7 linked regions of the Neurospora crassa OR74A genome follow. The protein of the gene in region 1 purifies or fractionates together with the protein of each later gene. This does not show direct contact. Links are inferred from orthologs where the notes say so. Each region holds a gene or a part of one and is shown in the gene's direction. Other genes may lie near its edges. The genes, in order: NCU00404, NCU01524, NCU01301, NCU07795, NCU03380, NCU09380 and NCU07942.

What was found.
Region 2: the proteins of NCU00404 (region 1) and NCU01524 purify together in Saccharomyces cerevisiae (affinity purification with mass spectrometry; 3 studies listed by BioGRID, with this or other methods). This does not show direct contact. The link is inferred for Neurospora crassa OR74A from reciprocal best matches to the Saccharomyces cerevisiae genes RPF1 and BRX1.
Region 3: the proteins of NCU00404 (region 1) and NCU01301 purify together in Saccharomyces cerevisiae (affinity purification with mass spectrometry; 3 studies listed by BioGRID, with this or other methods). This does not show direct contact. The link is inferred for Neurospora crassa OR74A from reciprocal best matches to the Saccharomyces cerevisiae genes RPF1 and LOC1.
Region 4: the proteins of NCU00404 (region 1) and NCU07795 purify together in Saccharomyces cerevisiae (affinity purification with mass spectrometry; 3 studies listed by BioGRID, with this or other methods). This does not show direct contact. The link is inferred for Neurospora crassa OR74A from reciprocal best matches to the Saccharomyces cerevisiae genes RPF1 and RRP15.
Region 5: the proteins of NCU00404 (region 1) and NCU03380 purify together in Saccharomyces cerevisiae (affinity purification with mass spectrometry; 3 studies listed by BioGRID). This does not show direct contact. The link is inferred for Neurospora crassa OR74A from reciprocal best matches to the Saccharomyces cerevisiae genes RPF1 and SPB4.
Region 6: the proteins of NCU00404 (region 1) and NCU09380 purify together in Saccharomyces cerevisiae (affinity purification with mass spectrometry; 4 studies listed by BioGRID, with this or other methods). This does not show direct contact. The link is inferred for Neurospora crassa OR74A from reciprocal best matches to the Saccharomyces cerevisiae genes RPF1 and PUF6.
Region 7: the proteins of NCU00404 (region 1) and NCU07942 purify together in Saccharomyces cerevisiae (affinity purification with mass spectrometry; 3 studies listed by BioGRID, with this or other methods). This does not show direct contact. The link is inferred for Neurospora crassa OR74A from reciprocal best matches to the Saccharomyces cerevisiae genes RPF1 and RRP1.

Annotation. Positions count from the first base shown.
Region 1 is NC_026503.1:3,739,776-3,744,125, reverse strand, and holds NCU00404 (RNA processing factor 1), read left to right. Parts: upstream 1-1,741; 5' UTR 1,742-1,879; coding exon 1,880-2,600; intron 2,601-2,672; coding exon 2,673-2,848; intron 2,849-2,928; coding exon 2,929-3,190; intron 3,191-3,260; coding exon 3,261-3,385; 3' UTR 3,386-3,755; downstream 3,756-4,350. Other genes in the region: NCU00405 (glycyl-tRNA synthetase 1), read right to left, coding at 1-1,075. UniProt on the Saccharomyces cerevisiae protein: Essential protein. Required for biogenesis of the 60S ribosomal subunit.
Region 2 is NC_026502.1:3,192,757-3,196,925, reverse strand, and holds NCU01524 (ribosome biogenesis protein BRX1), read left to right. Parts: upstream 1-1,682; 5' UTR 1,683-1,833; coding exon 1,834-1,979; intron 1,980-2,057; coding exon 2,058-2,275; intron 2,276-2,344; coding exon 2,345-2,958; 3' UTR 2,959-3,502; downstream 3,503-4,169. Other genes in the region: NCU01523 (GTP-binding protein ypt3), read left to right, coding at 1-287, 369-449, 522-661. UniProt on the Saccharomyces cerevisiae protein: Required for biogenesis of the 60S ribosomal subunit.
Region 3 is NC_026505.1:3,571,374-3,574,948, forward strand, and holds NCU01301 (60S ribosomal subunit assembly/export protein loc-1), read left to right. Parts: upstream 1-1,693; 5' UTR 1,694-1,822; coding exon 1,823-2,131; intron 2,132-2,240; coding exon 2,241-2,561; 3' UTR 2,562-2,908; downstream 2,909-3,575. Other genes in the region: NCU01300 (imidazoleglycerol-phosphate dehydratase), read right to left, coding at 482-894, 978-1,254; NCU01302 (hydrolase), read right to left, coding at 3,066-3,209, 3,264-3,392, 3,468-3,575. UniProt on the Saccharomyces cerevisiae protein: Required for efficient assembly and nuclear export of the 60S ribosomal subunit. Involved in asymmetric localization of ASH1 mRNA.
Region 4 is NC_026505.1:268,361-272,090, forward strand, and holds NCU07795 (DUF1665 domain-containing protein), read left to right. Parts: upstream 1-1,640; 5' UTR 1,641-1,809; coding exon 1,810-2,835; 3' UTR 2,836-3,013; downstream 3,014-3,730. Other genes in the region: NCU07794 (2Fe-2S iron-sulfur cluster binding domain-containing protein), read right to left, coding at 3,275-3,620, 3,704-3,730. UniProt on the Saccharomyces cerevisiae protein: Constituent of pre-60S ribosomal particles. Required for large subunit rRNA maturation, in particular processing of the 27S pre-rRNA at the A3 and B1 sites to yield 5.8S and 25S rRNA.
Region 5 is NC_026502.1:904,097-908,080, forward strand, and holds NCU03380 (ATP-dependent rRNA helicase spb-4), read left to right. Parts: upstream 1-1,184; 5' UTR 1,185-1,261; coding exon 1,262-1,492; intron 1,493-1,556; coding exon 1,557-3,290; 3' UTR 3,291-3,601; downstream 3,602-3,984. UniProt on the Saccharomyces cerevisiae protein: ATP-binding RNA helicase involved in the biogenesis of 60S ribosomal subunits. Binds 90S pre-ribosomal particles and dissociates from pre-60S ribosomal particles after processing of 27SB pre-rRNA.
Region 6 is NC_026501.1:3,514,285-3,518,972, forward strand, and holds NCU09380 (pumilio domain-containing protein), read left to right. Parts: upstream 1-1,725; 5' UTR 1,726-1,900; coding exon 1,901-2,138; intron 2,139-2,213; coding exon 2,214-4,015; 3' UTR 4,016-4,241; downstream 4,242-4,688. Other genes in the region: NCU09382 (TPR domain-containing protein), read left to right, coding at 1-347; NCU09381 (RWD domain-containing protein), read right to left, coding at 585-1,201, 1,273-1,339. UniProt on the Saccharomyces cerevisiae protein: RNA-binding protein involved in post-transcriptional regulation. Component of the ASH1 mRNP which transports the ASH1 mRNA to the distal tip of the bud, where the ASH1 protein is translated and targeted to the daughter cell nucleus.
Region 7 is NC_026504.1:1,277,335-1,281,165, reverse strand, and holds NCU07942 (hypothetical protein), read left to right. Parts: upstream 1-1,777; 5' UTR 1,778-1,987; coding exon 1,988-2,033; intron 2,034-2,240; coding exon 2,241-3,148; 3' UTR 3,149-3,248; downstream 3,249-3,831. Other genes in the region: NCU07943 (DUF218 domain-containing protein), read right to left, coding at 3,549-3,831. UniProt on the Saccharomyces cerevisiae protein: Required for 27S rRNA processing to 25S and 5.8S.

The DNA of each region.
Region 1 (4,350 bases):
CGTGGAACCTTTCGTGCTTCTTGTGGCCGGCGGGGTCAACGAAGTGCTCGATCTCGGCCATCAGGAACTCGCGGACGCGCAGAAGACCGCCGCGAGGGGCGATCTCGTTACGGTAGGACTTGCCAATGGAAGCAGAAGCGAAGGGCATGTTGCCGGCGTTGTACTCGAGGAGCTTGGCGAAGTTGAGGAACTGGCCCTGAGCGGTCTCGGGGCGCATGTAGCCGGCAAGGTTGCCGCTGGGGCCAATGGCAGTCTGGAACATAAGGTTGAAGGCCACGGGAGGCTCAGGCTGGACACCGGTGGCGGGGTTCTTCAAGTCGTACTTCTTGATGAGCTCGCCGAGCTGCTCGCCGTTGTAGTTGTCGATCTGGGCGAGGATCTCCTCGTACTCCTTGACGACGGCGTCCTCGAGCTTGACAGCCTCGGTACCCTTGGCCTTCTTCTTCTTGCGCTTAGGGTCCTCCTCCTTGTCCTCTACCTTCTGGCCGCGAGCCTCCTTGTCGCCCTTGAGGCGGGCCTCGAGAACGTCCTCGACGAAGTGGTCGGCGCGCAGAATGTCGCCGTTCTTGGGGTCCTTGCACATCCAGTCGGCGAACTTGTCGACGTGGCCGGAGGTCTTGAGAACATCGTGGGGGGTCAGGGCGGTGCAGTCAACCTCGAGCATGTCCTCCTCGAGGACAAAGTGCTTGCGCCAGATGTCGATGATGTTGGCCTGGAGGGCACAACCGGGCGGGCCATAGTCGTAGAGGCCAGCAACACCGCCGTAGATATCGAAGGAGGGCGCAAAGAACATGCGGCGGCGCAGCATGGACTCGAGAGCGCCCTTGTCGAGGGGCTGGCCCTTGAGGGTGGTGGCCGTCGAGGTCATCTTGGTGTTTTGTTTTTTGACGTAGACTTGGAAGCGATGGTGCGAGGTAGAGAGGGAGAAGGATCGGAGCGAAGTCGAAGAGATCCGCGGGATGGGCGCCGGGGTCCAAGAAGTTCGACTGGCGACGGCTCGGGTGGATAAGGTCGATTTGAATGCTTGACCAGCAACAGGAGAACGGAGGGAGGCGAGACGGGCAAGAGGTCGCATGAATTGGTCTTGTTACAGTGCTCAAGGGAACCAAGTGAGTCACGGTCGCCCACTGAGGTTTCGTCGAGGCCTTTTCAATTGAAACACGTACTTCAACCGAATCGCGGGATGATTTTTTTCTTTGGGGGGGTAGAGGGGCGCCATGGAGGGGCCGGCACCAACGACCCAGACAACCTAAGCCAAGGGACAGCGGTCCAGATTCCCGCTCTCGAGCCGCCGTCAGTGGCGGCGCGGTACGCGACAGAAGGCTCGACTCGCTGGAATCCACCAGCCATATCAGGAAGTGGAACTGCACATGCTACTGTACACTACCTCTACCTACCTAAGTAACTCCCTTACAGAAAGCGCATTCCGCTGGCTAGCGTTATTGTGACTTTTCATCGGCTAGAGGTATTGATATTTGATTATCAAGAGTCCGTGATGCCGCCGTTCTTCATCCCAAAAATTCTGCTTCCGTCCCAACTTACAGCAAGGGACGGGATGGAGTCATCCTGTGCAGGTGACAGTCAGGTAGTAGTGTACACTGAGGGGTAGCGGTACGTACCTGTCCCCGGCTGAGGCCGTGCGTTAGCTGTTGGGGTACCCTTGTAGATGCACGTCTTGGCGCCCTTGATGGCTCTGGGCCCAGAAAAAAAGTTGAAAGTTTACCGGGCCCGTTCAATTCATCCGTCAGGTAGAGGTAGCAACAACTGCCCAGCATCACGTCGAAGTTTGAACTGTGACCTGGAGAATTGATCCTACCCTACAATTTTGACACCGCGACAACCACTAATCCCACCGCCGTGTTACCACATCGTAGCCGATATGCCGTCCGGTAACAAGGGCAAAAACCGCTCCGGCGGATCGCTGTCGCTCAAGACCTCCAACAAGATTGTCAGAAAGCAATTATACGTCAAGCAAAAGAAGGAGCAGGGAAAGGAACGCCATGAGGAGCGTCACCGCCGGAGGAAGGAGGAGGCCAAGGATCCCAAACTCAGAGAAGAGCGCCTCGCAAACAACCAACCCTTGACCATTGAGAGGAAACGCGTGTGGGATGACGTTGACGACGACAGCCTGGGCGTCGCTGTGGATGTTGCCGAGCTCAAGAGGAGGCGCTTGGAGAAGGAGGAGGCCGAGGCCGCCAGGCTAGCCGATGGAGTCACGGAGGAGGATGAGGAGAAGGACGACGATGCCGATTCTATGTTGGACTCGGACGAGGAGGGTGACGACGACGACGAAGATGCCGAGGAGCGCATCGAGAGACTCAGACAGGAGCGTGCGCAGAGGAAACCCAGCATCGCTCCCTCGACCACGTCGACAAATCTAGACATGACTCCCGACTCGCTCACACGACAATTTCCCAATCTCTTCAACGAGGAACCCCCAGTCGACCCCAAGATTCTGGTCACCACCCATTTGAACGGCACCATTCACAAGGAGGCGGAGGACATTGCTGCCATCTTTCCCAACAGCACGTACATCAGACGCAGTGCGCACGCGTATGGACACAAGTATAGTGTTCGCGAGATCGCAAAGTTTGCCAAGAGTGAGTAGCGCACCCAGGTTGGAGTTTTGTTGCCCAAGAGAAAATTGCTAACACAGGCCTGAATTGTTACAGACCGTGGATACACGATTCTCATGATTGTCGGCGAAGATCTCAAGAAGCCTAGCTCCCTGACCGTCATCCATCTCAACGGCGAAGATGTTGCCCCTGGTCCTTCGTTGACATACACCATCCGGAACTACCTGCCTGGAAAGGCTCTCCTTGGCCACGGTAACCCTACAAACCACTACGTAAGCCGTCCATCCTAATCCCCAAGTCCATTAATTACAGGACATTGAGACTAAGCATTGCAACCAAAAAAAAAATACAGCCCGAGCTTCTCCTCAATGGATTCAAGACCCCTCTCGGTATCCTCGCCGCTAAATCCATGCACACCATGTTCCCTCCCAGGCCCGAGCTTTCGGGTCGCCAGGTCGTGACATTGCACAACCAGCGTGATTACATCTTCTTTCGCCGCCACCGCTACGTCTTCCGCGAGGCCCGCACGACGGAGAAGAACGTGGTTACTGCGGAGGGCAAGGAGATGGAGGGTATGCAGGGTATCCGTGCTGGTTTGCAGGAGATTGGACCCAGTAAGTCTTGCTACCGCGGAAAACAAAAGTTTTGGCGAATGAACCGAAAGTGGCTGACTTGTTTTGATAGGATTCACTCTCAAGCTTCGTAGAGTGGATAAGGGTATCGGTCGGGCTGGCAGCGAAGGAGAGGATGCTTTGAAGTGGGAGTGGAAGGCCAAGATGGAGAAGGTTCGCACGCGCTTCAACCTCTAAGGGGGCTGATCATGATAGTAGTATTGGTGATACCCTTCTTTCAGTATGCCATCGTCTCTGTTGGCACTGGAGAGTATTTGTCTTGTTCAAAGTGTGTATGTGGCGTTATCGGTTCACAAAAGGGTTTGGGAGGAAGGCATGATTCATCAACATCAGGTCACTATGACTGTACTTCAAGACTACCTATTTTCTGTGCATGTACCGCCGGTTTCCTCTCCCTTTCTACGATTTATGACCAGCCTTCTTGGCTTCCTCCTTGAGCATAGCCACTGGATATCTAACCCAGCAACGAAATCTCAGCCATTCTGCTCAGTATCATCGGCAAGAGAAGCTGGAGATGCCGCCGAGTTGCGGTGATAGTGGGCGATCCAGATGGTGTAGAGGGACGAGCCGAGGATGCCGAGAAGTGAGAAGAGGATGCCCTAGAGGGTTATGATTTCGACTTGCTTTTGGGTTTGATCTGTTGCTGAACCAGGTACGGTTTTGGTTGAAAGAGGTAAAAGATAGGATATCATAATGACTGACTATCCACACCCCGCACACGACAAGCTGGGACCAAAGCCAACATGGCTCTCTCGGGTAAGACGGAGTGGTAGAGAACGTGATTCGTCACGCCACGATTGGCGTGAGCAAGATCCAAGCGATTTGGTAGAAGGTTACAGAATTAAAAGCTATTAGCCAATGAGGAAGGATCACATCGAGGGACATGGCCACGCTGAGGGGAGTGTCTCGGGGAGAGATGGAGCGAGGACAAAGAGCGAGAGGGGAGGTCGCGAGAGGAGGAAGACGGTCAGGTAGGTGGTGAGGAAGTGGAAGGTTGCGAAGGAGAGCTGGGTTAATTGGAAGGATGGGGTGGAGAAATGGACTGAATTGTGAAGACCTGGGTTGGTTCGGTTGTTCGTAAGGAACTGTTGGGAGAGGAGAGCAGGGAAAGATGAACAATCAGTATTGAGACTACGATATTG
Region 2 (4,169 bases), on another chromosome or scaffold:
TGCTACCAGATCCATTCAGGTCGACTCCAAGACAATCAAGGCACAGATTTGGGATACTGCTGGCCAGGAACGTTATCGCGCCATCACCTCTGCCTACTACCGCGGTGCTGTCGGCGCCCTCCTCGTCTACGATATCAGCAAGGGCGTGACGTTTGAGAACGTGAACCGATGGCTGAAGGAACTGCGCGACCATGCCGACCAGAACATTGTCATCATGCTCGTGGGTAACAAGAGCGATTTGCGGCATCTGAGAGCCGTACCCACGGAGGACGCCAAGAAGTTTGCCGGTACGTTGCGCGTCACAGCCATGATGACATGGTCGCTTGGGAAAGCCGTATCGCCAGGATGACTGACAGAGAGAACTGCAGAGGAAAACCACCTATCCTTTATCGAGACTTCGGCTCTCGACGCCACAAACGTCGAGCTTGCGTTCCAAAACATTTTGACTGGTAACGTTTGCCCAAAGCCTACAGCTGCTGCTCTGGCGCGAGCCTACCGCTAACATGCGATCATTTATCTAGAAATCTACAAGATCGTGTCGACCAAGAACTTCGACAACGGCCCCAGCGGGTCCAACGAGGGCCACCAAAACCTGTCTGGCCAGAGCATCTCGCTCAGTCAGACCGCGAACGACCCCCAGGCGAAGTCTGGCTGCTGTTAGGAGGTGCTTGATTCTCCGGGCCGGGAACCGAGTGGCCCTGAAGGGTTGAGGTGCAGGGTGCAGCAGAGTACAACAGGGTGCCGAACCAACAACGGCGTCACATATGTCTGACATGAAGCAATGGAGGCTTATGATGAGCAATGAAGAGCAGCATCGGGGGAAAAGTACGGACGGATCCTGCCCAGTCTTATTACATCACGGTCGCCGATGGGATGGTCTGTTTTTCTTTTTCTCTCTATTTTTTTGGGCTTTTGGGGAGGGGGGAAAGGATCATGATGCTCGTCTTCCAGCCTTTCCTTTTTGTTGTTATTACTACTACTACCCCTTTCTTCCCTTTTCCCCCCGTGCTGGTCGTTGGAATTTTCCTCAATGTGGTTAACGAAGCCATCACTTGCGCATGGATTACGAAAGATATTATTTAGTTGAAATGAACTATGGGCGATAAACAGCCCTTAACTCAACCTGGTACATATTGCTCCACGTTGTCAAGGTCTCCATCTATTGCATCCACAATGTGGGAGAAGAGGAGTACCTCGAGAGTGAGTACCTATGTAGCGATAATCGTGCAGGATCTCGTTATGACATTCAAGTTGATTATGTGCGACAGCGGGAAACAGTCAATACAAATTAAGACATCTGGGCTTGCCTGATGGATTATGGCGACTGTCCCTCATTACTCCCATCGCGTCACCCGAGGCGGTTGAAGTGGGTTTGAGTGCGGACAAGAGGCCAGTCCCGTCCCATCCCCCACTGTAGGGCAGACAAGAAGAACGCGTGGAACTTGGACAGTGTGTGTAGGCAATGGAATCCCCAGAACTTGGGGGTCCGGATTCCAGGTTGGGTCCATCAGTGGGACAAATGCGGGTTGCCCAGACCGCCGACCGCCTTTCAGCTGTTCCAAGCAGGGGGGCCGGAACAGGGACGCTAGTAAGATAAGAGAAGCTTATCGGAGTGGGGCTGCGATTGGCCGGCGAACTTTTTTTGAGATGGAACAGCCTGCACTCCATCACTGCGCTTCGCCCGCGACGTTCGTGGATTGGAGCATTGAATTCACCTTTGCAATCCGCATTCCGTTTTTCTGCCATCACTTCCACCACAACCACCACCAACTTCAGTCACCCTTGTTTTTCGCCCGATTTTGATACCCAAAGAACGACAAGAACAAAAAGAAAATGGCCGCCGTTTACAAGTCGCTCTCGAAGAGCGCCAAGAAGGTCGAGGACACGGAGAACGACAACAACACCACCACCACCAATGGCGGCTTTCGGAAGAACAAGCAGAGAGTTCTGATTCTCTCGTCCAGAGGCGTTACCTACAGGTACATATAGACCCTGCATACCTGCAAGATGGAAGAAGAAAGGGTCAATTGCTAACCGCCTTTGCGCCCCGAGTACAGACACAGACATCTCCTCAACGATCTCGCAGCGATGCTCCCCCACGGCCGCAAAGACGTCAAGTTCGATTCCAAGTCCAAGCTGTACCAACTGAACGAGCTTGCCGAGCTCTACAACTGCAACAACGTCATGTTCTTCGAGGCGCGCAAGGGCAAGGATCTGTACATGTGGTTTAGCAAGGTTCCTAACGGCCCTACGGTCAAGTTCCACGCCCAAAACTGTGAGCACTATCCATATCCGAGATACGCATTGTGAAAGAGGAAAAATCGGGTTCTAACAAAAAGCACAGTGCACACCATGGAAGAGCTTCACTTCACGGGTAACTGCCTCAAGGGCTCGAGGCCACTCCTCTCCTTCGACCTCGCCTTCGAGCAAGAGCCGCACTACCGCGTCATCAAGGAGGTGTTTCTGCAAATGTTTGGCGTCCCCCAGGGCGCGCGCAAGTCAAAACCGTTTATCGACCACGTCATGAGCTTCAGCATTGCCGACGGCAAGATCTGGGTACGCAACTACGAGATCCGAGAAGTGGAGAAGGCCAAGGGCGAGAAGGACAGCGAAGGAAACGACATTGTCCCCGAGAGCGACAAGTCATCATCGAAAAAGAGAAAGGGCGCGCCCAACGCGGAGCTCAAGGACACAGACGTCAGTCTGGTTGAGATCGGACCTCGGTTCGTCCTAACGCCCATCATCATACAGGAGGGCGCGTTCGGCGGCCCCATTATTTACGAGAACAAGCGCTTTATCTCCCCCAACCAGGTGCGCTCGGAGCTGCGCAAGGCCAAGGCGACCAGGCACAACACCAGGGTGGAGCAGGTCAAGGAGAGGCTCGGCAAGCTCGAGACCCTCACGGCCCAGGCGAAGAAGGAGAAGGATGTCTTGGATACCCGGGAGCTCTTTGCTTAGAGAAAGGAGGAGGAGGGGAAAGAGAGAGAGAGAGCTTTTCACAACACGATTTCATCACGTCTGTTCGCTTGCGACACATCAAAGCAACGCACGCCTTAGGTTTAGGGGTAATCAAGGAGTTTTTTGTACTTTTGCTGGCTGGCTGGTTTGGTCTGGTTCGGGAAAAAGAAAGGAAATCGATTTGCATTGTACAACATTACAGTATTCGTGGGGATGTGTGAGACGGACGAGCTGTCCTCTTTTGACAGTTGGGAAAGAGGATCATGATCGAGTGGTAGATGAGCACTCAGCGTATAAGGTGCTGGCTCGAAAACGGACACATCAGATCAAGATTGAGTGATGAACGCCGTCCTGGCTCCGGTCTTGGTCGTGTTGAAAGGAGATGGTCAAAGAAGGGTAGGAGAGCAAGTACTTTGCTCGGCACCTCACTAGCGGTTGACTGTCTATAACCACACTCCTGAGGGAGATGTTGTTCGCATAGGACCTAGACTCTACCTTAAATGCAGTTGCGCTGTGAGATATTGTCTCACATTTTTGCTCCATGATTTGGGTTGTTTCCATATATATAAGAGACACGAGGTGTCTCTTTCGTTGAGTTGTTGGGATGATATCACCACCTTCAGTACACTCCTCAAGGAGAAGAAGAAGAAAAAGTACCATGTTTTGTCCCAAGGTAGCTTTGGGCGACATCGTCCCAAATTTCAGATTTTCTGACGGACTAGCCATCTTCTCAGGGGCTTTGGGTCGTCTAAGTCATGTAGTGTGCCTGGGAGTTGGCGCGAGTTTGGTGCTTCTTGAAAACAAGAGATAAGGACTGGAGCCGATACCTAGGACGTCGCTCCTTAAAGCGAAAGACAAATGGCTTGAGTCTAATGTTGAACACGTATGGCTAACGCTTTTGATCAAAATTTAGAAGCAAAAAAAACGACTCGGAGTACTTTGGTCATGACTCAGGTTCACTCATCGATATCGGAGGAGAGAGTTGAGGATAGGTTGTAGAGGGTTCACTTCACTCATTGTGAAAGTTCGCTACAGGGGACCTGTTCCCTCCAGAACACCAGTGGGGGAAAGAGCGGGAGGCTCCGGCCTATGGTACTTACCTCTAGGCCCCCTTGCGTGCCTGCCTAGCGTATCTTGGGCACCTAACTAGGTGGCATGTAGTGCCTGGCCCCGAGATTGCCAGTGCCAATTCCCGCCCCATTTCAGCGCTG
Region 3 (3,575 bases), on another chromosome or scaffold:
GTCTTTCCTGACGAGCTGAATGTAACTTTATTGGTCTTTGTTTGATTACAGACGTTGTCGGCGTAAGGCTTCGGTGTCGTATAGTGTCTTTTGGGTATATAAATCACCAAGAGGAGGAAAAAGTAATGTACGTCACATGAACGACTGGGTCGTGCGAGGTTCCGTATCATTTCAAGGGATTTTCTTGCGCTTCCACTTTCCCCTCGATCCCCATTCTGTTGTCCGCTGTGGAGCCCGCGTACGTCCGACTTTCCGAAAGGGGAACTTTGTCAACAACCTGCATCAGGGGTAAATTCCCTAGGTATACATTCGCCAATTCGCAACATGTATCTGGTTTTCCATTCTTCACTTCAACTCTACGCCGTCGCTATAGCGAAATGATGGCAGCCGAACATGCGCGCAAAGTACCACGGTAAACGACATCACATGGTATCATTGCACTTCTATATCCAAACCTATAACTAACTCCCTTCCCACTTCCTTATACGCTGAGCGTTCCCTTGGTGCTAGGAACTTCACCCTCGCGACCCGCCACCCGGCTAGTAGCCTGCCTCGTGGCAACCGCAAGCGCCTTGAATGCGCTCTCAGCTCTGTGGTGGTCGTTGTCGCCGCGGAGGCAGTCGACGTGCACGGTAATGCGGGCAGCCCCGGCAAAGCTATGGATACAGTGGGGGATCATCTCGGTGCTGAGATCGCCAATCTTCTCGCGCTTAAGACCGAGGTCGACAACGGCAAAGGGACGGTTCGACAGATCGACGACGGCACGGCTGAGGGCCTCGTCGAGAGGGCAGTATGCGGATCCGAAGCGCGCGAGGCCGGTGGGTGTGCCGAGAGCCTTGGCAAAGGCGTAACCAAGAGCGATGCAGACGTCTTCGGCGGTATGGTGGTCGTCGACTATGAGAGGGACAAAGTCAATTCAGAGTTCTGGATGTTGTTCCACGAGGACTTCTGCGCCCAAGCCAAGTGTGTCTACTAACTGTGAAGGTCGCCCTTGCAAGCAAGCGCAAGACTCCAGCCGGCATGCTTGGCAAGCGCATGGAGCATGTGGTCAAGGAAACCAATGCCGGTATTGACGCTGATAGTTTGCGATTTGCTAGCCTGAGTGGCATGGCCGTCGGCGATACTGACGTTCAAGCGGGCGTCGGTCTCGGGAGGGAATGCGCCGCCATCAAGGTTGAGTGCGATCTGGATCTTGGTCTCGTTGGTGTCGCGTGCAAAGGCGGCCCAGCGGGGCGCGGGCTGTTCGGTGCTCATTTTGTCTGAATAGGGCGTCTGAGACTTCTGGGGACTGTAGACTCTTGGGATATCACCACGGCAGTGTGATCAATTGCGATGTAAGGATGGCGACAATAAAGGTGATCTTGGAAATTTTGGCGATTTCGGAGTGCCACCAGTGAGGGAACGCACCGATAGGCAATCGATATGGAATAGGTACCTCCACTAGTGCTGCCAACCCCGCGCTTACACTAGAAGGAAACTAGAGTTTCCTGCTCGCCTGCCGATCCCCAGCTGCCAATTAGAGATTTCAAGGCAGCCCCACGGCGAGCTGACAGACCCCACTGCCCCGTAACCGCGCTCAGCAGGCGTTGATACAGTGCTATATGCACAAGCTCTAGAGGTACCTTGGATTAACCGCGATAAGATAAGGCAGGGACCAATTCCGGTCCCAAAATTTTCCCCAGAAGTCGACCGAACTGAAGCGACAGCGTACAGGATACATTCGAGAGTATTCGTACTCCATCCACCCATCCATATCCCGAACCACCATTTCATCTATCGTTGATTTCTTACGACCTTATCAACGAATCAACCACAACTCACAATGGCGCCGACAAAAACGATAAAGAACAAGCACGCTGCGAACAAATCCGGCATCAAGGGCAGCAAAGATGCGGAGAGGTCGAGGAACGATGGAGTGCTCAAGTCCAAGGGAAAGCCGAAGGGCAAAGCTCACACTCTCGTGACTGCCAGCAAGGGCCGACCGAACATCCAGGAGCTTATCGCCAGGAAGAAGAAGAAGAAGACCTACAGCGAAAAGGAGCTTGCGATTCCGGAACTCAACATGATCACCCCCGTTGGTGTGACCAAGCCAAAGGGAAAGAAGAAGGGCAAGGTGTTTGTGGATGACAAGGTAAGCTGTCTTTCGTTAGCGTCTGGGGTCATATTGGTTTTTTGTTTTCTTGCTAGGTTTCAAGACCGGAAAGCATCAAGTAACTGACATGTTTTCCCCCTTTGTACAGGAGAGCATGGCCACTATCCTAGCCATCGTACAAGCAGAAAAGGAGGGCCAGATCGAGTCCAAGATGATCAAGGCGCGACAAATGGAGGAGATCCGCGAGGCGAGACGCGCTGAAGCCGAGAAGAAGGAGGCTGAGCGCAAGGCCAGACTCGAAGAGACTAAGGACTCGCTGCGCAAGAAGCGTAAGCGCAGCAAGCAATCGGGCGGTAGCAAGGGCGACGACGACGATGACTCCAGAGATGTCAAGGAGTTCTCGTCTGCGGGCACGAAAGCCGTTAAGTCGAAAAAGAAGAAGTCGGTATCCTTCGCTGCTCCCGAATAAATAATCAAGCAAGGATGCTGGGAGCTTTGAAGGTCCCTCCTGGGAATGGGCTGGGAGAATGAAGACAGGAAGGGTGGAAGTTTGTCGTGTAATACCTACACCAAGCATTTTTTCTTCGCATGTATGGCGTCTGGGCGTTTATATCAATCAAAGTCTGGCGGCGGGTAGGATGGCTTGGCTGGGGGAACAGTTCTGACTGATTTTGTGTGTGGAAATTAAAGATACCAATTGGGCACGCCAGCCTTGGTCCAGCCTCTTTTTCTCATGAGTCGGTAGATGTTATTAGGTGAAACCGTCAGGATGGTGTAGTTCGTGGCTCGCATAAGCCATCAATGAACGTACGTTCGAACCTGTATCCAAGTCGAAAGCGCGAATCTAAGTCTATGTGCAGCCCCAATGTGCCTTGAAGCGCGTCTAGACCCTTTAGGCCCAATCGATGGACCCATCTCTATAGCTAATCTATGTACAGTCTTCGTTCTTTTCAAGTGTTCATTCCACCACCATCTATTGATCCACATCGAGAATCTGCAACTTTCGCTGCACAGGGTCGAAGTGAGTTCTGAACTGGCTATCGAACTTGTCACAAGCATCCGGCTTGATGGCGTCCAAGTCAATATCGAAAGCCATCTTGTTCAGGAAGTTGCAGATCTAGACAACAAATCAGCAAAAAGTTACCGGAAAGTGAGGCAAAAAGAAACTTACAGGACGAGTATGCCATCGTCCGCCACCAAGTTCGAACCATGAAAGATGTCCGCCGAGAGACGTGAGGCAAAGTACCGTGTAGGGGTTCTGCTTGATCTCTTGGTAGGGAATGGCCTCCTCAACAGCGATCTAGTAATTTGTCAGCTCTATACTCATGGGGGTTTCAAACTGCACTCTTGAGGGAAAAGGAGAAGATATGCTCACCGGATCATCAGCGGCAGAGAGGGCCATAAAGGGAATCCTGATGCCTAAGACAGCGTCACAAGAGGAAGCATCGCGGTAGTAGGCGTCCTCGGTGGGGTAACCCCAGGT
Region 4 (3,730 bases), on another chromosome or scaffold:
GCGTATGATGGAAGATGAGCAATGGTTTCAGCTTTTTTCCCTCAAGACTTCTTGGGCTGCAAATAAACACCCGATGAACTAATCGTCGGGTGTTGTAAATAGTTTGGACCCATTCCTAGAAATCGGGCGGGTAAGGCAAGTCACGGTCCGTCTTGAAGGAACATGTCCAAACTTCCAGAATCTGTCAGCAACAGAGTGTGGCATCGCACTGGTAGCTTCCTTACCTATTCACAATTAGTGATTTCTTGGCGCTGTATGCACGATGCGTTAGTAGCAATGATATTTACATATTTCCTGGTCACGGGAAAATAAAAGATCACGTACTAGTAGTTTGGGCCTGATTCTTTGGCGGGTCTGAACACCAGTCAGCAATCCGAAACCAGAGGCGAATAGAATGCATTGACTTAGCTCAGGTATGAAGATTGATCTTCACGATACTTCCGTATCGGACTTGCTTCTCGGATATCATGACGAACCCGTAACCGTGTGCTGATATCCCACCTTTTCACTTGGCGTTGTTCCATCTCTGGAAATGAACAAGTTCATGACGTGCTTTGCTTCTACAGCTCACATCGAACTGCTTCTGCTCCATGGCAATGGTGTTTTATGAGACCGTGACCCAATCACTTACACGCAAAGTTGGGAGAAGCGACCTAGCGACAGGAAGGTGCGAAGCTCAAAGTTCAGGACCTGAGGGCACCGATCCAATACTCTTCCTCCAATCGCTCACCCACGTGTCACTACCTACTAGTAAATGGCGCGAGATGGCAGGCAGTAGCAGCTTGGATGCTCCACGGATTTCTAATACATCGAACCTGGTCACTCCGTCAGGAAAACCTGGCTCGGGAAAGTAGGGAGGTACATGTACTGTAACTGCAGAAGCGTGCCTCTTGGATGGCAGAAGCTGTGTTCTGTAGAGGAAGGTATGTACAGCAAGATAAGAGGTATCGTGCATGGAGCCGTAGCGATCGATGTAATGCGAACCAATTCAACGGTGGCAGTCGGATTCATCTAGGTTCCGCTTGCGTATGTCCAACGTGAATTAACCTGTAAAACCCGGAATTGACGTGCATTACTTACCTAATCGAGCTCAGGTATATCGTCATGCATCGTTCGACTGTAAATGATGTTCAAAAGTTTCAACATTCAATTGGTCGCCGAAGTGCAACATGCTCAGACAAAGGTCTGTACATTATGCCGACCGCTGTTCATCGAGGTGCTCAGGTTCGGTCCAGGGGCAGATCAACTTTGTTAGGTCTCGTCGCTGCCGCCCGTTTGTGAGTAACGTGTCCTGAGACCATATGCTTGAGATCGTATCGATCCAAAGCGCGAAATGTGAAACACGTAGACAATTTCATACTGTTCGATAATGTCAATGTCGAGTTGTCATGGGAAGAGGTTGTCGTCGAATTGAGCCGTTGAAGTCACGGCTTACTAGGGTTAGGGGTGATTCTGATGACGGCAGAGCGGGTCCACCGTTCATCCCCGCTGGGCTGCCCTTGGTTCCACCAAGTGTGGGGTTGACGCAAGACAGGGACAGGGACGCAGGGCATATTGCCGGCCGCGACCGCCAAAAATTTCTGAGTGGAGAGCACCTCAGCAATTGGGAAGTTTCGAATGGAGGGACCTGCACTCCGAACCTCGACCATCTCGGCAGCACCTCCAATCCGCGATAAACAATTCTGCCCGTATTTCTCCCCCTCGGCTTGATCAGCTGGCAAATCGATCCCAAACACAACCACTATTCCATCTGCTTAATTCACATACAACCTACATCCAATCAAACCAGACACACACACAATCACAACCATGGGCATCACCAAGCGCAAAGAAGGCCCCAGCAGCAAGGGCAAGCCCGTCCGACCGTCCAAGAAGCAGAAGGCGCAAGCATTGGCCGCCTACCACAGCAGTTCAGAGGAGGAATCCGACAACGAGCAGCAAGATGTTGAAGACCAAAGCGACGAGGAGGCCGGCACCTCCGCCGTTCCCGCCCACCTCCTCGACTCGGACGACGAAGACCTAGACAACCTCGTTGCCGACGATGGCGCATCCACAGACGAAGAGCAAGCATCCGACTCTGATGATTCCGAAGCCGAACAACCATCAAACAAGTCCTCCAAGAAGTCGCAAACAAAACCCAAATTCGTCGCCAAAGACGCCCCAGATTCCGAAGACGACGAGGACGACTCCCTAGACGGCGGTTCCGACCTGGGCTCCGACCTCGACGATGAATTCGACCTCGACGGCTCGGGTGATGAGAACGGCAACAGGAGACAAACCAAATCCAAGCGCAACGATCCCGACGCCTTCGCCACCTCCATCACCAAAATGCTTTCCTCCAAGCTGCCCGCCTCGCGACGCGCCGACCCCATTGTCGCGCGCTCCGCCGAGTCTGCAGCCGCCGCCAAGTCCCTGGTCGACGCAGCGCTCGAAGCCAAGGCGCGCAAGCGTTTGCGCGAGCAGAAGCGTCTGGCCTTTGAGAAGGGTCGGGTGCGTGATGTGTTGGTCCCTAGCAAGACTAGGACGCTCAACATCCAGACGGGCGAGATCGAGGAGATTCCGGATGGAAAGGAGGGCGAGCAGACGACGGGTCAGATTCTGGAGACGGAGAGGAGGCTGAAGAAGACGGCGCAGAGGGGTGTGGTGAAGCTGTTTAATGCGGTTAGGGCGGCGCAGGTCAAGGCGCAAGAGGCGGAACGGGCGGCGAGGCAGGAGGGAATCGTGGGTGTGAAGAGGAGGGAAGAGAAGGTTACGGAGATGTCGAGGAAAGGGTTCTTGGACTTGATTGCGAGCGGTGGTGGGGGGTTGAAGAAGGGTGGCTTGGAGGAGGCTTAAGGGAATTGCATTCTGGTGTAGAGGGGTGATTGTTTATTGTGTTTGCATATTGTCAAGGTCTAGGCTATTTTCTTATATACAACCCCGTGCCCTTGATCTGGGGCAAACAGTTGAACAACGTACAAGCCCCATGCAGAAGTATGAACAGTCAACATGCTCTTGCCAATCCGTCATATCCATCAACATGAACATTGCCCATCACAGATATCCGATAAACTCTGCGCTGAACGCCGTCGCCTCAACAATCCGACAGAAATGGAATAGATGTCGTGTTTGTGCCATATATATTCCGTCGTCCGTCTCCATTTTTCTTTACACCACAGTGAATCCCCTGCCCCTTCACCTCTACCTTCTTCTTCTTCTTCCTCCATGCTCAACCCTTCATCGCCTGATATTACCTCCCCCCAATCCCATGTCATTCATTCCATGACGGCACGGTCTAGGACTTGAAATCACTAGCCTGCAAATTCCTCGTCATGCTCGGCAACTTGACCACCAACCCATCCAACTCCTTGGTCATGTGCACCTGGCACCCCAGCCGGCTCGTCTCGGTGAGTCCAAACGCCAAGTCCAACATGTCGTTCTCGTCGTCGTCGGGCTCCGGCATCCGGTCGTACATGTCCTGGTCCTGCACAATGACGTGGCAGGTCGAGCACGCGCAGGAACCGCCGCAGGCGCCTTCCATTTCGAGGTCGTGCGCTTGGGCAATGTCGAGCAGGTTGTCGCCTTCGGAGACGGCGAGGCGGTGGGTTTGGTTGTCTTTGTCGATGAATGTTACGTAGAGTCTGTGTGCCGCCGCGAACAAATTGCTAGTTAGTGGTTGTGGGAGACTGGTGAGGGACAAGAAGGGGAATGCGCTCAAACTGACTCTTCGCCGGGCTTGGGAGGGTCGACG
Region 5 (3,984 bases), on another chromosome or scaffold:
ATATGGAGGGTTCAGGTCCAGGAAAAAGAAGGGTATCTTGACAGCAAGAGGAAAAAAAGATGTGCAAAGCAGGAAAAAAAAGAAACTGTACCCGTACTCGGTGGCTGAGGTGGCACGTTACCCTGGGCTGGACTTGGTTTAGGATCCAGTGATGACGATCATAGACGAATGACAGTGGTTCGGTGTTTGTGAAGAACAGAAATTTCGGCTGTTGCGGATGCCCGGCCATGAGTGCGAGTGGGAATCAGCCGGCGCGTGTCCTGCGTTGCGCTTCAGGTGGTTGCACCGGGCTCCCCAGCTCACTGCCCTGGTCCGTTACCCCAATTGCGGCAAGGCGTGATGACATTGGTGGGTGGTGGCCTTTCAAGAGCAGCAACAGCACACAGCGACGCGACCTTGCATGTGACAACAGGAAGTTGAGACTGAACTGAAGGAAGACGGTTGGGCGTGAATGCCGCCATTTTCAGTTCATGCCAGGCGTTGCTCGATATACCTATACCATAGTATATTGCCGTGCCTTGTTGAAAAGAGACTTTGTACTCTGCTCAACCGTTGACGTTCATCACCTTGGTCGATCTCGGTTGATGGGGATTTCTTTGTACACAATCTCCTCATCATGTAAAAGTGGTTCAAGCGTTCTTAGCATGTTTGCCTATCATGGACTTGAGCAGACGGCCAGTCGTCAAACAAGGTTGGATGAAGACGACGTAGACTTCAATTTTGGGAGCCACTGGAGCTTAGTCGAGCTGAATATTGACACCTTCAGTTGTAGCATTACACTACCTATACCATGTAAGCAAATAAGATCAAGCCTTTGTCAGGTTGCCGTGGCTGCGTGGGTTCTTCGATGAGACCCACATTCCAATATCTGATAATTGCACTAGTAACAACAGACGATCGTGAAGATCCGAAAGCTGTCTATTGATATTCACGATACAAAACGGCTTGAGCGCACATCTGGGATATAATTAGTATAAGTCGTGAGTTGTCCAACGAATTTCTGAAATCTAATGGGAAGATCTTTAGGTTTGGACCGATCAAATTGGATTCGAAAGAAGTGAAGGCTGCTGTGTACTGTATGCAACTTGCGAGGTTACGCTCACGCTAGCTTTATCGATAGGCAGATAAGATAAGGATTGTTTGGATGGTCGCCAGGCCAATTTTTGTTTCAACAGCATCGCACTGCTATCACCACGGGCAATACGCAGAGCTTCAGGGATCGATTACAACGCCCCGATACTCCGCCAACCACATAATTAACATGGCGCCTACCCAACCACAGACTAAGGTCCGGAAGCCTCCAAGGTCTTGGGACGCTCTCACGCCTCCTCTCGCCCAATGGATTCTTGACTACCTCTCCTCCATGGGCTTTACCCAGCCGACTCCCGTTCAAAAGTCATGCCTTGAGCTCTTCCGTGGAAATAAAGATGTTGTCGTCGAGGCCGTAACAGGCAGTGGAAAGACACTTGCCTTTTTGATTCCGGTAGTTGAGGTAAGCCGGATCTCTTGCTGTCTACCAGCTCAGGATGATCATATGCTAACCGATTCTGCAACAGAAACTCCTGCGCGGCGAAGAACCAGCCAAGCGAAACCATGTCCAAGGCATTATCATCTCGCCCACCCGCGAACTTGCAACCCAGATTTACAATGTCCTCGTTTCCCTCGTCAAGTTTCACGAACCCTCCGCTGAAGCCATTTCCCACGCCAAAAGCGACGAGAAGCGCCCAACAGCAACCCAGCCTGTCGTTGTCCCCCAACTACTTGTCGGAGGCACCACCAAGGCTGCTGAGGATCTCGGTACATTCCTTCGTCTTTCCCCGAATCTCCTAATTGGCACTCCCGGCCGTCTTGCCGAACTCTTGTCGAGCGCATACGTCAAGGCTCCCGCGTCTACATTTGAGGTTCTCATTATGGATGAGGCCGATCGCCTTCTCGATATGGGTTTCGCGAACGAGCTCAACCGCATTCTCGGATATCTTCCGAAGCAGCGCCGTACTGGTCTTTTCAGTGCTTCGCTCAGTGACGCCGTTGAAAGGCTGATTACAGTTGGTCTATTGTACCCACACAAGATCACCGTCAGAGTGAAGAGTCTGAAGGACGGTGGCATAATTCAAGAGAGGAAAACACCAATGTCTCTACAGATGAGCTACCTTGTTACCCCAGCCAGCCAGAAAATGCCAGCAATTGTCCAGCTCCTCGAAAAGCTCGAGCCCAGGCCCCAGCGATCCATCATCTTCTTCTCTTCATGCATGGCCGTCAAGTACTTCAGCCGCATTCTCGGCGCCGTCCTGCCCGCCGGTTTTTCCGTCACCTCCCTGCACGGCAAACTCGAACCTAAAGTCCGCGAAAAGAACTATGAGCGTTTCGTCAACACCACCTCGCCCATGGTCCTCCTCACCACCGATCTTGCCGCCCGCGGTCTTGATATCCCCCAAGTCGACCTCGTTATCCAGCACGACCCGCCCACGGACACCAAGGTTTTCATTCACCGCTGCGGTCGTGCCGGCCGTGCCGGTCGTCGGGGTCTCGCCGTCGTTCTGCTCCAGCCGGGTCGCGAGGAAGGCTACGTACAGCTTCTTGAAGTCCGTCAAACTCCCATCACGCCCCTGGAGAAGCCCGCCATTTCCGTCACCCCTGATGAAGTCGAGCGCGTCTCCGCCGCCTTCCGATCGCAAGCCCTCGCCGACCGCGAGATCTTCCAGATGGCCCAGCTCGCTTTCGTTTCCTGGACGCGCTCCTACATCGAACACCAAGCTTCTTCCATCTTCCGCATCGCCGACCTCGACTGGCTCGACCTAGCCAAGGGCTACGGCCTTCTCGAGCTGCCCAAGATGCCCGAAGTCCGCGAAGCCAAGATCGACCGCTCTCTGGGTCTGGGCATCAACACGGAAGAAATTCCTTTCAAGGACAAGGTGCGCGAGAAAAAGCGTCAGGAAGAGCTGGCCAAGTGGAAGGAGGAGAAGGCAAAGCGGGCACAGGAAGAGAATACGGGCGACAAGCGCAAGAAGAACGAGGCGTGGAGCGGCAAGGCGGAACAGGAGGAGACGAAACTGCAGAGGCGCGAGAAGAAGAGGAGAAAGAGGGAGGCCAAGAAATTCAGCGAGATGACGGAGAAAGAGAAGGAGGAGCATCTCAAGCTGGAGCAGATGATTGAGGAGGTGAGGAAACGGAACGAGGCCAAGGCGGCGGAGGAGAGGGCAGCTGCGCTTGCGGCGAACCCACCCAAGCCGAAGGCTCCGGTGAAGAAGGTGGACGATAGTGATGAAGAGTTTGGTGGGTTTGATGATTGAGTAGCTTCTTGGGTAATGGGAGTTGATGGTAATGGTTCATTTTCTAAGACGTAAAGGCGTATGAGGCGTATATACCCTTTTGATGAATTGGAATTTTGTTGGTTCTTGGCATGCTGTATCCATGAGTCCTCATGGTAATCATGATAATGGGTGTACTCGAAAAGTACAGCTGTTTTGCCTGAGACAATATCTATCATAACACCCAAATGGAGACACAGTATCGATATCACAAATGTTCTCGAAATTCGAGACATTGTGGTAACAAAGTGTTCGTATGAACAAACCAAACCAATGTATTCAGTCCACTACATCACACCTTCAGTATACTCTTGCTCGCATGCATGCGTCTTGATTTTATCTTCTAGGCAATCTTCAAACTCCTTCCTGAACCAAATAATCCCTAATAGACTCTGGACGGCGTGGTTCCAAGTCATAAGGAGGCATATCACAGCCTTGCAACGGCCTTCCTTCCCTAGTAGGATGGATAACGTTGAAGTGTCCATGTTCGGTTTTGTTCTCTCAACCACACGCCGGGTTAACATGATTAGAAGTGGGACAAGGTTTTGCAGTTAATTGAATCTTTATTGTCTGAGCTGTAAGGACCATCATGTTCAGAGAAAAACATGCATTGTACCGGAACCAAATTCGATGTTCTCATTCATCAGTATGCCTTTGACTGTGATTCAGGCGAAGA
Region 6 (4,688 bases), on another chromosome or scaffold:
AGGCGATAGACGTCGCAGAGCGCTTGATCATTGAAGATGACCAAGCTGTGGAGGTCTGGTATCTAAGTGGCTATGGCAGGTATCTTCTGGGCGAGAAAATCAAGAGCGGAGAACTGCAAGCTCCCGAAGGTGAGACATGGCAAGATATCTGGCGCTTGTCGCGCAAGTACCTTGCACAATGCCTCCGGACATACGCGGCCATCGAGTACGAAGATGAAAGGCTTGGAGCACACGCACAAGAATTGCTGGACTCCATTAGGGGTGAACTTGGTGTTGTTGGCGCTGAGGAAGATGAGGTTTGGGAAGATACAGACGTTGAGGAAGATGAAGATGAGGAGATGAGTTAAATGGCCCCAACTGGCTTCGTCTCGTTTGTCTTCTAACCATACCACCTTAAGCTGAGGCGTCTTTTTCAGGCAAACTTGTTATGGCATACCCTGGAGTCCGGTTAAGAGGGGTAAAAAGTAATGTTCAGGATTGGTTTTCACATGGGTTAGGTATACTTAGAGCGGATTAAAGCCTACAGCAAAGAATTAGATAATTTTGGCGAACGTGATAGAGGGCTTACGATTTGTCTAACGGTCCTAAACCGTGAGTTTCTGGACCTCTTCCACGGGGACGTCATCATCGCCTTCCAGGTCCTCATCACCCTTCCCAGCCAAGCCCCTCTCCCAGAGTTGTTTGCCCGTGAGCTTGACAGGCTCCTTTATCCTTGCCTTCTTCATCTCGGCCGCCTTTTCCTCTTCCTCCTTGATTCTCTGATCTTCCAGTTCCTGCAAGAAACTCTCCCTCCACTTCAAAAAGGTTTCGCGATTGACGGGAGTGCCCTGGAACTTCTTGTTCTCTTCGCGCTCCGCGGCAAGGGCGGCCTCCTCTTGCGCCTTGATGGCAGCGTCCCTCCGCTCTACTGCCAGTTGCTCCGCAGCATCCTTCAACGCCGACACAACAGTAAAGATCATGGCCATCCCCAAATTCTCTTCAATTGTCTCTTGGATACCTTCGAGCAGCTGGAACCGATCGTCGGCAATGTTTATGTACTGATGGGGCGGCGCATTTGGGGCGGACGCAAGCTCAAGGAAAGGTGGCTTGTCGGGATAGTCTTCGGGGTACCGTACGGTAAGTACCATGCTTGGTGTTTCTTCGGCATCATCATCAGGAATGTCCAGCGTGATAGTAATCCGGTATTCGGTATCGGAGATATCTAGACGAGTCGAGCTTGGGTTAGGACAGGCCCATGCCTGAACGGCAACCGATGTGGGCGAACAATCGAACCTTGGATCTCATCTGGGAAGATGGAGTCGAGGACTTCCCTCTCTTCAATTTGTTCTTCGCGGCCCATGATGTCCAATCGGTAGGGCGCCTTTCAAGTTTGCAGTGTGCTGGACGACATAAAACGTGAAAGACTCCTTCCAAAAGTGGGTGCTGGCAATGTTGACTTTCAGGCGTTTACTAACCTAGAGAAGAGGACGGGAGGGGCAACCAGACGGCATTGCAGTGACTGTAGCGTCAGGTGCAGGCCAAACTCCAAAACGCGAGCGCGGCTCAATCTATGGTGGGGGTCCTGCCTGGGTTCCTTGTTATATCAATGGACAGTTCTAGACAGTGTCGATCAAGTCGCCCCACCACAGAACCCCGGAAAGCTTCTCACCGCCCGGCAGATGCCAGGATGCGGATCCAGAAATTTTCAGCGGAAAACGTGCTACAGAATTTCCAATTCAGAGGCTTCAGATACAGGGCACTCCAAAGTTTCGGATTCCCGTCTGAATACCTGCACTTTCACATATTCCTGCTCGACCATCACCTTTGAACCAGCGCCCACCCAGTACGACGTCAACACGAGCCCCCCATACCTAGATCAATCCTTCATATCCCGGAGCAACACAGACATCGCATAGCATCAATGGCGACCAAGTCGTCTTCAGCAGCCGCTGCCGGCGGAAAGAGAAAGGCGTTCGGCAAGCATAACGAGGATGGCCGTACAAAAGCAGTAAAGACCACTTCTGGCAAGAAACACATCAAGGCCGAAGCCGAAGACAATGAATCCTCCGATGAAAGCTCAGACGCCGAGTTCCACACAGGAGAGACCACAACATCCACGCCCAATGAGTCCGGCAATGGCTCCAACGAGACCAAGTCTGGTACGTTGTCTCTCTTTACCATATCTGCCCCATGATGACCGAACCTCGCTCTGTTATTTGACTAACACAACGCAGGCACAAGCTCCAGGGAGGCGCACGCCAAGCAAAAACAACTCGCCCAAGAACGCAAGAACGCGAAGCCACTGGCCGATGAGGTGCACCGTACCAAGAAGCTGTGGGAGAAGCTCCGTCGCAAGTCGCATGTGCCTAAGGAGGAGCGCCAACAGCTCGTTGAGGAGTTGTTCACCATCATAACTGGCCGCATCAAGGACTTTGTCCTAAAGCACGATGCTGTCCGTGCCGTCCAGACCGCCGTCAAGTACGCCACCCCGGTTCAGCGTAGGCAGATTGCGAAGGAACTTCAAGGAACCTATGCGCAGCTCGCCGAGAGCAGGTATGCCAAGTTCCTGATCGGCAAGCTTCTGGTGCAGAACGACAAGGAGATCCGCGACATCATCGTCCCCGAGTTTTACGGCAAAGTTCGCAAGCTCATCAACCATGCTGAGGGTTCCTGGATTCTGGACGATGTCTACCGCGGTGTTGCGACCAAGGAGCAAAAGGCCAACCTCCTTCGCGAGTGGTACGGTCCCGAGTTTGCTCTGTTTAGGCAACCCAAGGGTACCGAGGTCACTGGCGATCTCTCCAAGATTTTGGCTGACGAGCCCAGCAAGAGGACAACGGCGATGAAGTACCTTTTTGACATGGCCAATGGCCTCATTCAAAAGAAAATGACTGGTTTCACCATGCTCCACGACGCTCTGTTGCAGTACTTCCTCAACCTTAACCCCGAAAGCGAAGAGTTCAAGGAGTTCTTTGAGACTATTAAGGAGGATGAGACCGGCGACTTGCTCAAAAACATGGCATTCACCAAGTCTGGCGCCCGCCTCGTGTGCTTGCTCCTTGCGCACGGAACCGCCAAGGACCGCAAGCAGCTGCTCAAGGCCTACAAGGACACCTACCAGCTCATGAGTGGTGACAATCACGCGCACGCGATCATCCTCGCCGCCTACGATCTCCTTGATGACACTGTCCTCACGTCCAAGACGATCTTCTCCGAGATTCTTGGCAAGAATGAAGAGAAGGATGCCGAGCACGTCATCTTTCTCGCTAACGACCTCAACGCGCGCACGACGGTATTATATCTCTTTGAGGGAATGTCCAAAGCGTTGTTCCCTGCCAGCCACGCCACCGACCTGGAGATTCTGAAGGAGATTCACGAGATCCGCACCAAGACCAGCAAGAAGGACGCCGAGGTTAGGCGTAAGGAGTTGGTGACGGCCATGTCGCCTCAGCTCCTTGCGGCCATCGCAAGCTCACCCGCCGACCTGGTGGCCACCTCTTTCGGTTGCCAGTTTGTTACTGATGTTTTGCTTTCGGCGACTGGAGATAAGAAGGCCGCGTTGGAGGCTATTGCCTCTACTGCCGGTGGCGATCCCAACGCTGAGGCGCCCAAGGATGCCTACCAAGCTCTTCCCCCTCACATCTCGACAACCATTCACGGTGGCCGCATGTTCAAGACACTGATTGCTGGCGGCCGGTTTGACAAGGCCACAGGCAGCATCCAGAAGGTCGACCCCCCGCTCAACTTCGCCGACCTTCTCTATCCCGTCATCAAGGACCACATTGTACAATGGGCCACCGGCCCTAGCTCTTGGACGGTGCTAGCTATGCTCGAGGCTTCCGACTTCTCATCGAAGAAGGAGCTCCTCAAGACCCTCAAGTCCAACAAGAAGGCCCTTATCAAGGCCGCAACTGAAGCACCGGCGTCGAAGAAGGAAGAGATGGAGGAGAAGCCAAAGGCTAAGAAGGGCAAGAATGCTTCTGCCCCCAAGGGCAACCAGGGCTCGAAGCTCCTTTTAGAGAAGCTCGATGCCTAGGTTGAGGAAATTGTAGGCGTCGCATGGCTATAGTGACAAAAGTGGACGGTAGCCACAGGTTGACTAAATACCCCTTTTATGTTGTTTACTTTGTCAATGCGATTTTGTTGGGCCCCGCGTAATTTGCGGTTGACTGATAGCCCTGTTTACAAGTCTGGACATGTTATATATGATTGCATAGAGAAAAGCTTGCTTCCAGACTTCCCTGATGGTTCAGATATGACGCTTGAAACAGGCCGTGGCCTACTTGGAGTGAGGTAAATCATAATTAACCAGACAGGAGCGAGACAACTTTCTTATATTCGCCATTCCGGACCTTGGAAGGCCTTATTATCATACGACCTTCACATTGAACCACTTGTACCACAATTTTCGAGGGACACAACCTCCCCATATCAACATGGCGTGTAGAGGCAAAGTGCTGTGCAAACATTTTGACTGCGGCACCAAGACCGACATATATCGGGTTCACCGTCACTTGATGGCTAAGTGCCGCTTGGAAACCGAATAGAAGAACGGAACTGCCTCAAGGCTACACCCGTGCAAGGCCGCGTATATCCTTGTGCAACGGCCAGCTCACTGAGCGACCATGGCCTGACGGCCTTGCCATATCTGCTGTTCTAGTAGGTAAGACGAGGGTTTCCGAACGGGCAGCCAGCCATGGGTGTCCTCG
Region 7 (3,831 bases), on another chromosome or scaffold:
CCAGCTTTTGCGATTTTACAGGCTGTGCTTGGCACGTGTGAGAGACCTGTGGAGCTGCTTGCTGGAGCGGGCTTCTCCCGACGGGAATCGGCTATTTTGGGACCGGACAATCGCCTGTTACCTTGATCTGGCTGTGGACCAGAGAAAAACAATGAAGCAATTCACGACGGTCAGAATGTCCGAAAAGAAATCGATCCTGGAAGCAAACCAGGGTTGTCGGAAGCTGTAGGAAATTCCTGTATTAGGATCCGAAGTGATAACCGCTCCACTAACCAAGCTGATATCGTCCAAAGCCCGGGTTTTGGACGTTTCCCCTAAAAGTTCCGATTCCAATCACAAGACGACAATCTCGTATCAGATAAAGTACTATACCTCAAGGTAGGTATCGTCAAGATAACCATTTAGTGTGTCCGTATCAACACCGATAGTCAAAACTACAAGGGACGCCAAATCGTTAGATAGGTCGAACACATCCAGCGATTACATGCTTGGGAGGGTTTATTTTATCGTTTAGATACGACTCAGATGAGGTGGCATGTTCAAGGCGCATTTTCACCTGCGTAAGCGCTCCAATAAGATGGTACATGTTGTAGATGTCCCCGCGCTTCCTTCCTTTTTGTCACATGTCTCTGTTCAAGCTTTCCTCTCTTCCCCGCCCCAGACAGACCGCAATCCGGGGTAAAGGCCCAATGGTCGCCGCGGGGTTAGGGCGTGTAGATCTACCCCTGACTGTCACTGGATCCTGTTTTTGTTGCATTGGTCAACGGTTCACAGCCCTGACAGCTTCTTCCTCCCTCTGTGGTCGGAGTACGACACTGGTTGGTCCTCAGTTCCCCTTCTGCTTCCCCTAACTGAAGCAAAGAAAGTCCGAGGATTTTCACTTGCTGTCTGGCCAGGCGCGACCTGAGCTTCCCCTTTGGTGCTAACCTCCCCATAGAAGATACACTACTGTGCTTTTGGGTCTGGATGGCTGTCGGACTTCATGTGAACCTGATAGGCTTGACGGCCCGCTGGTATACGTTATCTACACTACACTAGACACTACACTAGAAAAAGATAACACAAAGTCCACATGACCATTTGCAGGGCTGAGAAAAAAAATGAAAGTTTGAGCGTATCAAAGTGACTAGCAAGACCGCCAGTTTTTCAAAGTAAATCCTTCAATGAAATCACAGTCTCTAGGCCACATGACAGTTGATGCGGTGAGGATGTCGTTAGGCCCGATGCCTGGTGGACAAAAGAAGCAGGATTCCAGAAGAAGTCCGGACAGAGTGGCATGGATACCAAGTTAGGGGAGAGTATGGGGATCAGGGGAAACAGCAAGCGGGAAGAAGGAGATCCCGAATCGATAGCGGAATGCGGACGGGCGGGCAAGGCGGGGAAGCGGGACGGAGGAGAATGGATGGAGCCGGATTCTACATTGACGGGGACCATCGAAATTTCGTGATGCACCTTCCGCCCTGCCGACGATGTCGCTGGTGACTGAATGCCATGCCCTCACGCTGCTGGCATCGACTCAGCTGTCACCTGTGACCACCGCAGAGGTTGCTGGGGAACGGGTGCGGCCGGGATGGAATTCGACTGCTGTCGGGTTCCTGCCGATCATAGCCGAATCCACAGTCACTAGCATGCACCAATCACATAGCGAGCGCATACCTCCCCGCATCTTGGCGATAGCTGGACAAGCCAAATGCCTGCCGCAAAGTCTTATCAGCTGCTTATCTCCAATTGTCAACTCTCGGAAGCTTGGTCCACCAGTTTTTTCTGCCGGGCGGACAAGATTTCGTTTCAATCGGCTTGAACTCCATCCACCATCATCTCCAGCCCAGCCTGCAGCAGCATCTCGTCGCCTCTAGGAAACCGATCCCAGTACTTCGTCTTTTTACACAGCGTATACCCAATTTGCGTTTTGGCCCTACTACAACACAACGAAACAGTCGAAACAATCGAGTTGAGTGGAAACACCACCAAAAAAAAACCAGTCAAGATGGCGTCGCAAAATATGCCGTTCATTAAGAACCTCGCCTCGAGCGGTACGTTTGCATCCCACTTTCCAGTACATACACTGCCATGTGATCGAAGTACAAGCTACATCACCACTTGGGATACTTGCCTACCTTGTATCTCTTGACAATACTACCACTTCTACATCCAATCACGTTCTATCTAAACTCAAAATGTATACCCAATTCCCCATTCGATAAGCCCTCCATCACTGACATTTTCTCCCTTTTCGATAGACAGCAAAATCCGCAAGTCAGCCCTCGCTTCCCTGCACACCTTCCTCTCTGCCAAGCACATTGCCACCACGCTCTCGCCCATCGACATTCTCAAGCTGTGGAAGGGTCTCTTCTACGCCATGTGGATGTGCGACCGCGCCATCCCCCAGCAGACCCTTGCCCAGGAGCTCGCCGATCTCATCTACATCCTCCCTCGGGAGTCCGTCGTCCCCTGGCTCAGGGGTTTCTGGGCGACCATGTCGCGCGAGTGGACGTCGATCGACGTGCTGCGCATGGAAAAGTTCTTGTTGCTGGTCAGACGGGTGGTGGGTGCTTCCTTTAGGTGGATGAAGGGCGCGCAGGATGGGAAAGCGGATGTCAGTGCTGCTACTGCTACCAAATCCAACAAAAAGGGTGGGAAGAAGGGAAGCGGAAAGGAGAAGAGCGCGTGGGACGCCAAAAGAGTCGATCAGGTTCTCGACATACTTGCCGAGTGGCCGTTTGCGCTGGACGAGGACGTCAAGGAGGATAGCGATTCCGAAGAAGAAGAAGAACCCGAAGCCGACGAGGACGACGAAGATGCCAAGCCCCAACACGAATCTCTCAGGAAAGAGAAACCCAAGAAGAAGGAAAACAAGGACCCGCTTCACCTCCTCGCCAAGAAGATACCCTCGGGACTCAAGATCCACGTGCTGGATATCTGGGTGGACGAGGCCGAGAAGGTTGGCATGCTGGACTTTGAGAGCGACGAGGAGGCGCTCAAGATTGTGCAGCGGATCATCGAGAAGATCGAGGAGCTGGAGCAGCGCACGGTCAGCCCCGCGATAAGAGTGAGGTCCAAGGACTCATTGTCGGATGACAGGCTACCGGGGAATGACAAGAAGCCTGTGGAGAAGGAAGATGAGGGATGGGGCGGGTTTGATAACTGATTTCGTTTTGTAAAAATGGTTTTTGCTGAGATATCATGGCTGCTGGCGTAATAGAGTTGCTTTGTTTGATTTCGTTCCCTTGAAATACATTGCATTGTTGACCAATGTCTTGAATCGTGAACCTCCTCATGACTTTCAATATATCACAATGTTACCCAGGAGACTCCTAGTTTATAAGTAGTAGTTTGAAAAGTAACTGATATACATCAACCTTGGTTTAATTGTTACTGAAACACCATTCCACCAAATTTCATGCAAGGTATCTGATTGGTGTCAACGAGATGCGTTTTAGGTACTCTCTATACTCGTATCTAATTCTTTCGTCTATCTTCACAAAATAAGCCTAATGTGTGGCTCCACAGAGCTCGTCCCGGACACCCGGCGAATCACTTCCGGAAACTCATCTACGATGCGCAATCTTGCCGGCAAGCCGCGTATAAGCCTGCTCAACCTCATCGGGAATATCCACATGGACGATGGAGCCATTGCCCTTGGGACCATAGCCGTATTCGTCATCTCTCAATCGCGGAATCTCGCCCATGACCAGCTGCAAGAAACGGTCCATCTTCCACATCAATGCTTCGTTGACCGGCGGTGATTCGTATGCCAGCTGCCCGCTAGTGCCGCCACCGCTGCGCTTTACGCGAGGAACAAAGATCGGACAGCCGAGGATTGTCGGGGGC